Linked DNA regions of Caenorhabditis elegans. The protein of the gene in region 1 interacts with the protein of each later gene in a pairwise test. Each region holds a gene or a part of one and is shown on either strand. Other genes may lie near its edges.

Region 1 (7,887 bases):
GAAACAGAAATTTTCGACTATTTTTTTAAGGCAAAGTTACAAATATAATTATAAAAACAAAACAATAGATGACTTGTGACCGTGGGAAGCATAAATAAACAAATATAGCAATAAAATTGAGCAAAAAAATCGGAATGCGCTTCACCACTAAAAAATAAAAGTGAGCAAAATGTGAGTAAGGAGTAGCAATAAAATCGATATGATTCAGTCAATGGAAAATAATTGGACAAACCAGCAAGCATTATGCTCGTTATCAGTGCGTAGAGAAAATTTTTCTCCTGATGGCATTTTAGTGTTTCGAGGTTTACCAAGTCTTATGAGTCTCAATGCTTTCTCCCACACTGCTTACATTGGAGCTCTGAGTTTCCTGACATTCGGAGCTGTACTTTAATGCGGTTGAGAGGTTGATCACGGCTCTATTCTCTTTATTCGTTTTATAAATTGTGAGAAAAAATATAGTGACATACTTTCAAATATTGATAAGGAAAATCAGCACCATAAAGTTATTTCTTTAAGTATATTTTACATCCACATTTTTGTAAACTTGAAATCATTTTATTTAGAATTAGAAAAAATAAAACTGGACCAATTTGGATATTACAAGTTACAAAATTAACATCCAAAAGCCATCTCCATCCACTCCTCCATTGAATATTCCCGATCTCCTACTGGAATTACAATTCCAGATAGTCTTCCAACAGGTGGCCGCTCTTCAAATCCGGTCATTTTTATAATTTTGACACGCGCTTCAATTATGATACTGTCGTTGACCGCATACTTTCTCTCCATATCATCCCATCGAATTAATTTATCATAACCGTAACTAGCAGGCTCGTTAAGCGTGCTTGATGCCGTAAAAGACAATCTTTGGCCATTTGAAGACTTCAATGTTAGAACAAGTTCCACCTCAATAGACCAGTCCTTGCTGTCAAAATGCTTTTTTTCACATTGTAGATACATTCCAAAAAAACCTTCTCTTCTTTGAATTTCTATTCTCCTGAATTTAACAGAGCTATATTGAAATAGTAATTTTAAATAACTAACCAAGGAATATTGTAATGTGTTTCTACGTTGGTAGTATATATACCTCTTTCTTTAATGTTTGAAACATTTTGAACAGTGTGATTCAACATAAAGGTTTTCTGGTTCATTGTTTCAGTGCACGGAGAATCTGAAATCAGTTTTTTAAGACGGATGAAAAAAATTAATCAGAATATGAAAGCATAACCAAAGGTATTTGATTTTTGAATTCAATAATAACTAACCCAAAATGTTTAATATCTTAACATGTGCTTCAACCACGATACTATCATCCACAACATAATCACTTTCCAACTCCTTCCAACTGATAAACTCAAATCCACGCCCTGTCGGCTTTGCAAATGTGTATTTCCAGTTTTTCATCAAACTTTTTCCATTGTGTGACACCAATTTCAATGTAATTTCAGTTTCAATCGACCATTTTCTGTTTTCACATTCTTCCTTTTCGCATCTTAAATACAACTGGAAATTATCATTTGTCTTCTCGATCCTTATCCGCCTAAAACATGCTCCATATTAACTTCAAAAATAGTTTGTTAAACTAACCATGGAATATTGAATCGGTCTTCTAAGTTGGTGTGGTAGCGTTCTCCGTCCACAAATCGTGAGATATTTTTAACATTTTCGCTGATGGAAAACTCTTTGCAAGAATTGGGCATTGTACGTACTGAAAAGGTTGATTTTTGACTACTTTTTTGGGCAAAGTTACTACAGTGCTCCACATAATGATACGGCCACCCCCAAATTTTGGTATAACTCAAAACTGGGTTGAGATAGCAAAACATAGTTTCTTGTGAAAATGTTTGCTATACTAACTTGCTTTCAGATAAGTATTGGAAATATAACTGAACCGTTCGTAAAAAAGATAAACCATTTTTTCATGAAAAACCATATTAAAAAATCCACAAAATGATACGGCCACCCTTGGTTTTTGTTGTCTTTTTCGTTTTCTTTGCAATTTTTTTTGCTAAACGTTAAGTTTCATGTTCGTTTGTGTTTTTACAGCTATGTTGTCGTGGAATAACTTCAACTGACTACGAAAAAGGACAAATTGTGCCAAATTATCTCAAGGCTTCTCGAATCGTCAGATTTTTCGTGATTTGAAACTTTCGAGAGATATGATCACTCGATATGCTTCCAATCCTGCCGCTTATTGCACCAAAAAGTGTTCTGGTCCCCCACCACTTCTTTCTGGTAGAGACAAGCGATATATCGTTCGTCGAGCATCCAATTGAACAGTACCTTGCTCAAAAATTAGGAGCGAGATGAATCTGGCAGTGTCTGTTGAGACCGTACGACATTTTTTTTTTGAAATCTCAGTTTAACAAAAGACGAAAATTAAGAAAGGCTCCTTTCATTACCAAAAAAACCGCCAAAACCATATTCCGTTTGCTTAAAACATCCAGAGAACTAACTGGAGACAAGTGAGGATTACGGTATAATCATTCAAGCCAATTTTTTAGTTTCAGTTCAACTTTTCTTTTCTCAAATCGTGCCAGTAATCACGGTAGCCATCCGGTTTATCACAGTTGAACTTTTTCTCGTCACTGAAGATGAACTGAAACTAAAAAATTGGCTTGAATGATTATACCGTAATCCTCACTTGTCTCCAGTTAGTTCTCTGGATGTTTTAAGCAAACTGAATATGGTTTTGGCGGTTTTTTTGGTAATGAAAGGAGCCTTTCTTAATTTTCGTCTTTTGTTAAACTGAGATTTCAAAAAAAAAATGTCGTACGGTCTCAACAGACACTGCCAGATTCATCTCGCTCCTAATTTTTGAGCAAGGTACTGTTCAATTGGATGCTCGACGAACGATATCTAGCTTGTCTCTACCAGAAAGAAGTGGTGGGGGACCAGAACACTTTTTGGTGCAATAAGCGGCAGGATTGAAAGCATATCGAGTGATCATATCTCTCAAACGTTTCAAATCACGAGAAATCTAACGATGCGAGAAGCCTTGAGATAATTTTGCTCAATTTGTCCTTTTTTGTAGTCATTTAAAGTTATTCCACGACCCATAGCTGTAAAAACACGAACGAACATGAAAACTAACGCTTTGCAAAAAAAAATTGCAAAGAAAACGGAAAAATATAACAAAAACCAAGGGCGGCCGTATCATTTTGTGGATTTTTAAAAATGGTTTTTCATGAAAAAATGGTTTATCTTTTTTACGAACGGTTCAGGTATACTTCCAATACTTATCTGTAAGCTAGTCAGTACAGCGAACATTTTCACAAGAAACTATGTTTTGCTATCTCAACCCAGTTTTGAGTTATATCAAAATTTGGGGGTGGCCGTATCATTATGTGGAGCACTGTACTTGCTTCGGCACTCTCTGAAGACGTCTACAACACTGTCGTAGAAGTCGCAGATTTCCTCAAGGTCTGAGTCCGCAGTTGGAGCATAGACTTGAATCACCGTGCAGTTGAATTTTCGGCTCACTTTGAAGGTGAGTAAGCCGATGCGGTGACTGAGAAATCGTATTTCTACGATTTTGGGAAGGAGGGTGCTTTGAACTATGAAGCCGACCCCTCCGGATACAGAACTTTCATTCCGTTTGCCTAAGAAGACACCGGTACCGTCCTGATGTATCAAGTGTGCTTCGGCTGCTCGTTTGGTTTCACACAATCCGATGACGTCGAATTGGATCCGCCTCGTCTCTTCTAGCAGCTCAGCAAGTCGATCATCCGAAGACAAGGACCTGCAGTTGAATGTGCACACGCGATAGTCAGTTCTTCTTGTTTTGTCCCGCGGCTTCTTAATTTCCAAGTCCGATTGACAGATGGTTTGGACTCCGAGATTAGATCGCCTCTTCCGACGTGCTCCAGGAACTGTCTTTCCCTTTGCAGAGGCCGGATGCGGAGGACTGAGGCAGGGTGGGTTGCTGTTTAGAGCAAAAGTTGTGTCTCTAGATACTCTATAATGACCTGCCAATCTAGAGCCGCCCGGACAGAGAGTATTCGACACTACCTCTGACCTGCGTGAGACGGTGTACTTCTTGGCCAGATAATTTGCACTTGGTTCCAAACCAAGCCACTCTCGATGTGACGAAATCATCGAGTTTGTTGAAGTGGTTATCTGTTGATCCCTTTCGCCACGAAGAGGCTTAGTACAGAAAGAGTATCATAGTAACCAAATATCATAGTAAAACTTTTCGAGAAAAATTGAAAATTTTTTATTTACTGTCAAAAAGGTACAATTACTCAGTTTTGCCATTCATAATTTTGGAAGTCGACCAAAAAAAATTTCCTACGATTTTTATACTTTAATTTTATATTAATTAAGTGTGCCAAAACACTCTAGAGGTCAGAACATGCGACATTGCTTTGGATTTCTTTAAAAACATATATTTTTCAAAAATTTGGCAGTGTGCCAGAACTTTGACTGGAAACTTTGAAAAAATTCAAAATTTTTGGTGCCACTCCACTATTATAATATTTAATATTATAATATTATATATATAATATTATAATATATAATATTATAATATAATATAATATAATATTTGAAAAACAAGTAAGCCATAAAATTCAAAGGAGAATTGTTTTTTTTTTGATAAATGACTTCCAAAAAAAATTTACAAACATTGAGCTTTTTCTAAATTTCAAAAAATCATATAAAATTTAGAATTTGTTAAACATTTTTTACTATAATATTTGCTGAATTTGCCGAGCGTGGCAAATTTGCCGAATTTGCCGAGCCTGGCAAATTTGCCATATTTGCTGAGCTTGGCAAATTTTCCGAATTTGCCGAGCTTGGCATTTTCGCATGATTCGCCGCACACCTCTGTAAAATCAAAAAGTGGAGATATATTGTTTCTAAAATGGAATACCTACGCTCTGGTTGATTTGGCGCCCTACGAGAGCGCCATTCAAGTTTTTTTGAATCACGTGAGTCTTTGAATCTTTCTTCAGGATTGCGGATAAACTTTGCCACGTCTTCATCTTCATCAACCATTGTTGCTTCCAATGCGAACCTTTCTGCTTCCAGCCGCTGCGATTCTTCAATTCTTCTCCGATCAAGTTTAGCCCGAATTTCTTCCTCCTGTTTCTTCTGATTCTTGAATTCCCGCTGAGCTCTTTCAATTTCTTGAAACTGATTTGGAGTGTATCCTATTGTGAGATTCCTATTTTGCGTCTGAGAGCTCATGGGCAGAGGCTTGTATGTTGATTGAGATTCTGTATGTTGATTGAAGTACACTGCTGGGGCTTCCCTTTGGAAAGCTGATTTATACTCACTGGACTGTGGAATTGAAGATGGGATGATTGTTGTTGTTTTACGACGATCTCGACTGTTCATATATCTCGATCGTGACGGTGAAGGACTTCTGTCTAAGTTCGATGATTGCACAGTTGTGAGACGGCTTGTGCCAAGATGTGATTGTTGTATTGGCGGAGTCGTAGTTACTTTCGTGGACGGATTTAGGAATGGATACTGAGAGCTCCTGTAGCTCGTTGGAAATATGCTTGCTTGAGAAGACACGGGCAGAGTTTCACGTACTACAGCTATTTTTGATGGTGCTGTGTGCCCAGAGAAAGATAGTGGTGAAGCAGCCGAGTCTAAGTTTGATGATTGCACAGTTGTGAGATACTTTGTGCCCGAAGTTCCCAGCTGCGATCGTTGATCCACTGTTGAGCCACCACCATAATCAACTGTTAATTGCCTTGATAAACGTTGGTCCAGTGTTGATCCACTTCCATCATCCTCTGCCAAGTGTTTTGACAAACGTGGACTTCTACTTTCAGAATGATGTACACGGGATTCATCTTTGGAACTGCTCGTTTTTTGTTCTTTTCCAGTGTACTGATACTGATAGTGCAATTTTGCACCAGAAACTGAAAATTAATACATTTTAAATTTTATTTATACATATGTCATAAACTCACATGATGTAGATTTTTGAAGATTTGGAGGATGAGTCCGTGGTCCTAAATAGTTTTGATCTTGGTTGGCCATTATGCCTTTTTCTGTAAATGTTAAGAGTAAAAACCGTATTTCGAGTACACTTTTGTGCAAGCAAAATTTTAACAATGAGAACAACAGAGATGCAAGGTTTTTTGTCTAAAAAAATGTTTTCATTTTACCGTTACATTTCAAAACGAGACATGTGTCATTTGAAAAATATATACTGAAGGGTGGTCACTGCAAAATGTTGAGCCTTTAATTTTGATCTAAACATTTTTCAGTACATTTTTTCACTAATTTCGAGGCCTCTATAATTGCACCAGATGCTGAAACTTTTCAAGGACAGGTAAAAATTATGAAAAGTGAGGGATCACCACCAGGCAGTGTACCTGAATCCCAGATCCGCAGTGCATAGCACTTGAAGAACGGATCGTCCTTTAATCCTTTTAATCCTTTGGGGTACTTTTTGGGGGGATCGAAACCCATAAATACCGTTTTTGGATAATTTCTCGCCAGTATGCGGCAAAGAAATTTTCGAAAACTTTCCTAAAATGTTTACCTACCCTTAAATATTTTGAATAACATTGAAAGTTTGCAAAAACACTATTTCAACAAAACCATACAGGCCTCTAAAGTAGTGGAAAAATTCACGGAAAAAATTTGAGATGGAAATTTCGAAAGTTGAGATGAGAGTTTAATTAAAATTATTTCTAATAAAAATGATAATAAAATTAAAATTATTCCTTATACATAAAGCAACAGTATTCCTGTAAAAATAGTGAGAAGAGCGATTGAAGACTAAATCAAGTTGGTTAGAAAAGTCATAATAAACGACTCTTCATGCACAACACACACGCACACAGGCACATATAAAAACTGATAACAGACCGGCGCCACACAAAATGTAAGCGATCGCCTTAAAGTACCGGGTGAAATGAAAATTTGCGAGACTCAGAAAGAGAAAATTGATAAGGTTCGAAACTTGGGAAGACAGTTTAGGCACTGTTTAAACACTTCATTGAGATGTGGGTGGTAAATTGATAATAAAATAGGTGATTCACATTTACATACGCTTGGAAAATACACCACTGAAAAATCAAACAAAAGTGAGAAGTTTAAATGTTTTTTCCAAAAATATGGGGGGGGGGGGGGGTGAATCTTGGTTCAGGGAAAGTAAATCTTTCTAGTCCCAGTATGGCTTAAATTTGGACTAAAAGTACATAAAGGCAGGAGGCTTTGGCTTATCTTTAGGTTTGAAATAATGAGAAATTACTTGAAATCGAGATTGCTTTTAGAAATTTCGGCGGAAAAATAATCGAAATTTTTTTCAGTCATGATTCGTTTGACTTTGTCAAATTTTGCTCTTTGAGCCAAATTTGGCAAATTTTTCACACAAATAGTGCTTAAAACGTGCTTGATTATTCGTAAAACCAAAAAGGGTTCCATGAATTTCCGTACTAAATTCGAAAATCTTGAAGAAACCGAAAGTTTCTAAAAGACCATACCCACAAATTTTCCTAAAATTCACCAAAAAATGTTAGCAACTATGCTCTTTCAGATACCAAACTAAGAATTATACTTAACCGTGCTGTTTTTGAGATATTCAGGCCTTGATCCATGACGGTCAGCCAAAAAATGTGTAAAAATAAAATTAACAAATTATTTTTATTGATTTAATTAAATTAGAGCTTAAACAAAAAACTCTTGTCTCTGAACTTTCACATCCAAAATGCACGTGTTCACATTGTAACTGACCACAATATCCATGAAGTTTTCCTTGTAAAAAGTGACACAGTTATGCCTTATTCTGCAATAGAAAAACCTACAATATACATATCTAACACAAGACAACTTACTCTTTATAAACACGGGTCTGCAACTCAAGTGCCTTAAAAATCGCTTGCTCATTTATCCCTTCAAATGAATAATGAGTGTCAAAAT
Region 2 (4,882 bases), on another chromosome or scaffold:
CAATTTTCTCTGACTCTGGGCCACGCCTCTTTTGTGGGCGGGGGTACGACGCGAGACTCTTGATCAATTTCGCCCTGTTATAAATGTTTTCCTACTTATCAACTAGTATTGGGTTACTTCATATTTTTTCGAGTTTTTCAGAATTTTTAAAATGTGTTCTCAGAAGTTACAATCAACTCACCGATATCCGCTGATTGTTGAGCAACTGTTAATGAATTTCTCTGTGCTGGAATACAAATATGATCATTTACAAGTGAATCTCTATGAGCATTCCCATTTTGATAAGCTCCGTCAGATGACGTGGCAGTATGACCTAAATTTTTTCAATTAGATTATCGATTCCTTACGTGGTTTTCTTAGAAACTTGCCATTTTGTTCTTTGTCTTTTTTGCGGCGAAGTCGCCCGAGAAAACTGCTCATTTTTCAATATTTTATGACATTTTCTGAGTAAAATTTAGAAAATCGAGCTTTATGAAATAAATAGAAGGGATTTATTTTTGTCCACAAGAGGGTTATCAACTTCTGCGCACCCCCTGTCTGCACGTCTCCGTCTCTTTTCTCTAAAGCACACGACAAACGCGTCAACGACCACTCGAAGAAACGAGGCAAGAAAATATATGTCAGCTGCGACCTTTTTTTAGCGTTTAAGAAATATTTTCTTCAATATTCTGAGAGAAATTCAAACTTCCGCCATTTTACTACAATAGTAATTGGTTTTTTTAAATTCCAGTCGAGACGCAAGTTCCCAGAGTTGATTGTGTTCCTTTACATTCTAGCGTTTTTCACGTTTGAAGTTTTCAAACTATAGCAAGTATAAATGCTTGTGTGTCAGATTTTTTTGTAAAATATTATTGAATTTTTAAAATTTTACGAGCTAATTAGTTTTTTAGATTTTAAAAACCCTGTTTTTTAAAAAAACACATCTTAAATCCAGTTCTTTCCATAAAATAGCAATATTCCAGGCGAGACCAAGGTCAAAATGTTAAGTATGTTCCTTCAAAGCAACCGTAGTTATCATTCAAATTTTTTTTCGAATTTTTTCGGCTCTAATACTTTATTCCCATTTGTTTTTTCTTTTTAAGTGGGGTTTTTTGCAGAAAATGGAAACAGAAACCGCCACAACTCCAACAGGAAATACGGAACCCACCGCTGCAGCTTCCGCCGAACCACCAAAGTCAGATAAGGTGACCGTAAGGCTGAGGAATATCGCAGATGCGCCAGTTCTTAAAAATAAGAAAATGGTGGTGAATCCAACGGACACTGTTGCTTCCTTCATCTTGGTAAGAATTGAAATTCTTAAAAAATGTGAAAATAATATTATTTTCTTCCAGAAATTGCGAAAACTGCTGAATATTCAAGCCAACAACTCACTCTTCTTGTACATTGATAACACATTTGCCCCATCTCCTGACACCACGTTTGAGGTTAGTTTTAATTTGAAAAACTCGATATAATTTTATAAAAATCAAATTTTCAGACGCTATCCCGATGTTATTCTGTGAAAATCACCGATAAGGAGATTCTGGAGCTTCAGTACAGCATTACACCGGCCTACGGATGAAAAACATGCGAAGCGGGATTTTTTAAATGTATTATATGTACTTGATGTCACAATAAATTCACTTATACCACAATTTCATTTTTACTTTTCAAAAAAATATAATATGTTTTTTCAAGTCTTTATCTACTTGCTATCTCCACTTCTCAAAGAAAGTAACAGGAAATAAATTTTAAAATATTTCAGATCTCTAGATAAAAGATAATGAGCAAGGTAAGTCTTAGAACTTTTTTAAACTGAAAAATTGAATCTCAAATTTAAGAAAATCGATCACGATGAGGATGATCGAGATTCGTCGGAATACGAGGAAATGGATGATGATGGGGAAGAAGCTGAGATTGATATGGAGCAACACGAGATGATTTATGAAAAGGATATTGAGCCGGTCGAGCAGTTTCAGCAGGAATATATTAGTGATCAGGAGCCAACTTCGAGCAATCATGAAGAAATTCCTGTTAGCATGAAAATTGACTACGAAGGTTCATTATTTATAGAACTACTGGAAAAATTGAAAAAAATCAAGTTTTGAAGTTTCCAAACATTTTTTTGGGAAATTGAAAATTTGATCTTCCAGGTCCAATTTATCTTTTGAAAAACTTTTAAAATTTGAGAAAAATCAAATTAAACATTAATTTTTACAGAAGTCTATCCACACAACGCCGTTCAAGTAGACAATGCTCACGAAATGGTTGAAGCTGAAAAAGTTTATTACGAGAATGAAATGGAAGATCTCGTTTATCATGAGATTTACAGAATTGAAGGCAATCAGAAACAGGAAAATTATAAGAGTATGTGCATTTAAAACTGGAATTTTGATTATTTAAAAAATCCGGTTAAAATTGCTAAAAAACGAAACAAAATTCAAATCTTTGCGAAAGGAAATCCAGAAAAAAAAATAACATGACCTTGAAATTTTCAGGAATCCGAAATATAGTTGGATCAAGCGCCTCCTGTCTCGTCTGCCAACGTTCCGAATCCGAAAAAATCCGTCTTTTCAAGTGGCCAAAATCAGAAGAACTCAAAGAGCAATGGTTACATTTCTTTCGGCTTCCAGCTACAGTACTTCAGAGTGCAACACAAGAACCATATATCTGTTGTTATCACTTCTCAGCCGACACTTTTGTCATGGTTAGTTGGAATTCTACGAATTTCATGAAAAAAATTATCTCAAAGCACGGAATTAAAAAAAAGAAAGTTTCTCCAAAAAAAAACATCAAAAGACCCATTTTCGCCAAAAACACAAAAAAAAACCAAAAAAGGCAAGTCCAACGATATTGGGAAAATTTGAATTTGTGAAAAAGTTTGAATATTACAAAAAAAGTTTATAGCAGGAAATTTTTTATTTTTCAAGCGAGTTTTTTGAATTTTGAATTTTTCTTTAGAATTAATATTTCTTTTCAGATCGATGATCGAATCTTCTGGAAAATGACCGCACTTCCAAAATATCGACAACGTCGTCCGGGGCTCGCCGAGCCATTTCCATGGGAGCCCGCTGTAAAGCATAAAATGGAAATGATGCAATCAACCGATACAACCAACAATTCTTCAGTCGTCGAGTACAAAATTCGCTATCGAATGCCTTTTAATAAGCATAAAACACGAAATGTTCATCAAGTTGCAGTAATGACTCCAGTTGCTCAACCACATTTATATTATGAATTTCATTTTAATCGATATGGTTTGAATAATACGAAATTCTACGCGTGTTTGAGTTGTCGAAAAGCAAAAACTGAAAGTGGAATTCGTGACGTCATTCGGACAATTCATCTCGATGGATATAAATTTTTGAGCAATGGAGATCCATTTAATGGACATCATTTTGCATGTAGACCTCATAATGTCTACGATTACAAGTATGTTTTTTCTTTTAAAAATATGAATTCACAGGATAAAATTCGATCAATGGGTCTTGGCAAAACATTTTTCAGCTACCGTACCCATGACAACGGTAGATTTGCAATACTTTTTCTTAAAACGTTTTTCAGTGATAATGTTGGAGAAAATTATTTTATTCATTTTTTCTATGTAATACAGGGAAACACTTCCACAATTTTAATTTTTATTTTTTAAACCTCCGATTGTCAAGAGAAAAGAAAATCTACCGTAACCGGAGGGTACGGTTGCCATAAAGTTTCAGTCGGGGCAAGACCTGAATTCAGATTTGAGTACAAAAATCGTGGCGAGACACGCCGAGGAAACATGTTTGCGTTTTTAAAATAGGCTTTCAAATCGTTTCAAAAATGACAATATACTTTAAGCATTTGATTTTTTTCTGATTTCCTAATCACTTCTTTTCAGATCATCTTGGCGTCCAGTTCCCGGTCAAAATGGAGAAGCCAATTTTCTCGATGAGGTTGTCTACGTTGATGAGGGTGGAAATTCCCTGGAATGGCATGCCGTGACCCGTCCCGGAGACAATCGAGAAGTTGAAGCGGTGCATGAGAAAGAGGATCCGCCGATTATGATGTATGATGGTAATTTCGAAGATCCCATCACCGAGGAAGTGATCGAAACGAATTATGTCTTGGATGAACCACCTGTACTATATTCCCAAGATCCGGATCGCAAGCCTAAGCCATCGAAAAAGTCCAGAATAAAGTGCCATCTATGCTTGAAGACCAGCTTTTCGTCAACACAAAGTCTGGTTGATCATCTTCAAAAGCACATTCTCGATGAGAAAGAATGCAAGCGTTGCCAGAAGCGGATCTCGTGTGATTCAAGAGCAATATGCATTCGGAGAGGTGTTTGCGGGAGTTGTTTTGTTGTTTAGATTTTCCTTGTTTGCATTTTTTCAAATCAATAAATTGTTGTTCGTTCGAAAAATATATTATAGGATTGAGAGAGATAGAGGAGGTCTTGCTGTGACAGCGTGAGAGATCTAGAAAAGAAATGAGCTGGGCCCATACAATAGAAAGCTTGTGTAAGAGAAGAAATTGGATTAGAAAATGAAACAATGATTTGGAAAGTTCATCTAATCACTGTCATCATCTTCATCGTCGCCTGCAGCGGCCGCGTGAGCTCGATTGACTCTCTTGGATGGTCCCTGGGCGCTCAATGTCTGCAGAAGGCTTGTTTGACGACCATCACAGGCGACCACTTTCAGTCTGAAATATTAATAATTATAGATCATCGAGAAACAAAAATTTTTATAGAAAATTAATAAACAATTGCTTTTTTCTAGATTTTTTATTTTTAATACAAATAAAAGAAACACTCACTTATCAATAGGCTCATCAAACGATCGCTGGGGATCTTTCAACGTGACATTATTGAGAATAAACGTCCAAACGTTATCACAATATCGATAAGTGAGCAGTTGTGTCG

What was found. Proteins that work in one complex are often made in the same cells at the same time.
Region 2: the proteins of math-41 (region 1) and B0336.7 interact in a two-hybrid assay, tested with the Caenorhabditis elegans proteins (one large-scale study listed by BioGRID).

What each region holds. Positions count from the first base shown.
Region 1 is NC_003280.10:1,822,750-1,830,636, reverse strand, and holds math-41 (MATH domain-containing protein), read right to left. Parts: upstream 6,009-7,887; 5' UTR 5,998-6,008; coding exon 5,928-5,997; intron 5,877-5,927; coding exon 4,878-5,876; intron 4,828-4,877; coding exon 4,690-4,827; intron 1,709-4,689; coding exon 1,588-1,708; intron 1,541-1,587; coding exon 1,266-1,540; intron 1,172-1,265; coding exon 1,045-1,171; intron 998-1,044; coding exon 613-997; 3' UTR 409-612; downstream 1-408. Other genes in the region: fbxc-19 (F-box domain-containing protein), read right to left, coding at 7,636-7,753, 7,803-7,887.
Region 2 is NC_003281.10:5,694,229-5,699,110, reverse strand, and holds B0336.7 (THAP-type domain-containing protein), read left to right. Parts: upstream 1-1,744; 5' UTR 1,745-1,762; coding exon 1,763-1,771; intron 1,772-1,817; exon of another isoform or gene 1,818-1,820; coding exon 1,821-2,037; intron 2,038-2,199; coding exon 2,200-2,346; intron 2,347-2,477; coding exon 2,478-2,686; intron 2,687-2,959; coding exon 2,960-3,411; intron 3,412-3,856; coding exon 3,857-4,328; 3' UTR 4,329-4,382; downstream 4,383-4,882. Other genes in the region: Regulator of G-protein signaling rgs-5, read right to left, coding at 182-313, 369-420; lgg-3 (Ubiquitin-like protein atg-12), read left to right, coding at 1,101-1,280, 1,332-1,424, 1,478-1,561; B0336.13 (Transcription initiation factor IIA small chain homolog), read right to left, coding at 4,530-4,662, 4,777-4,882.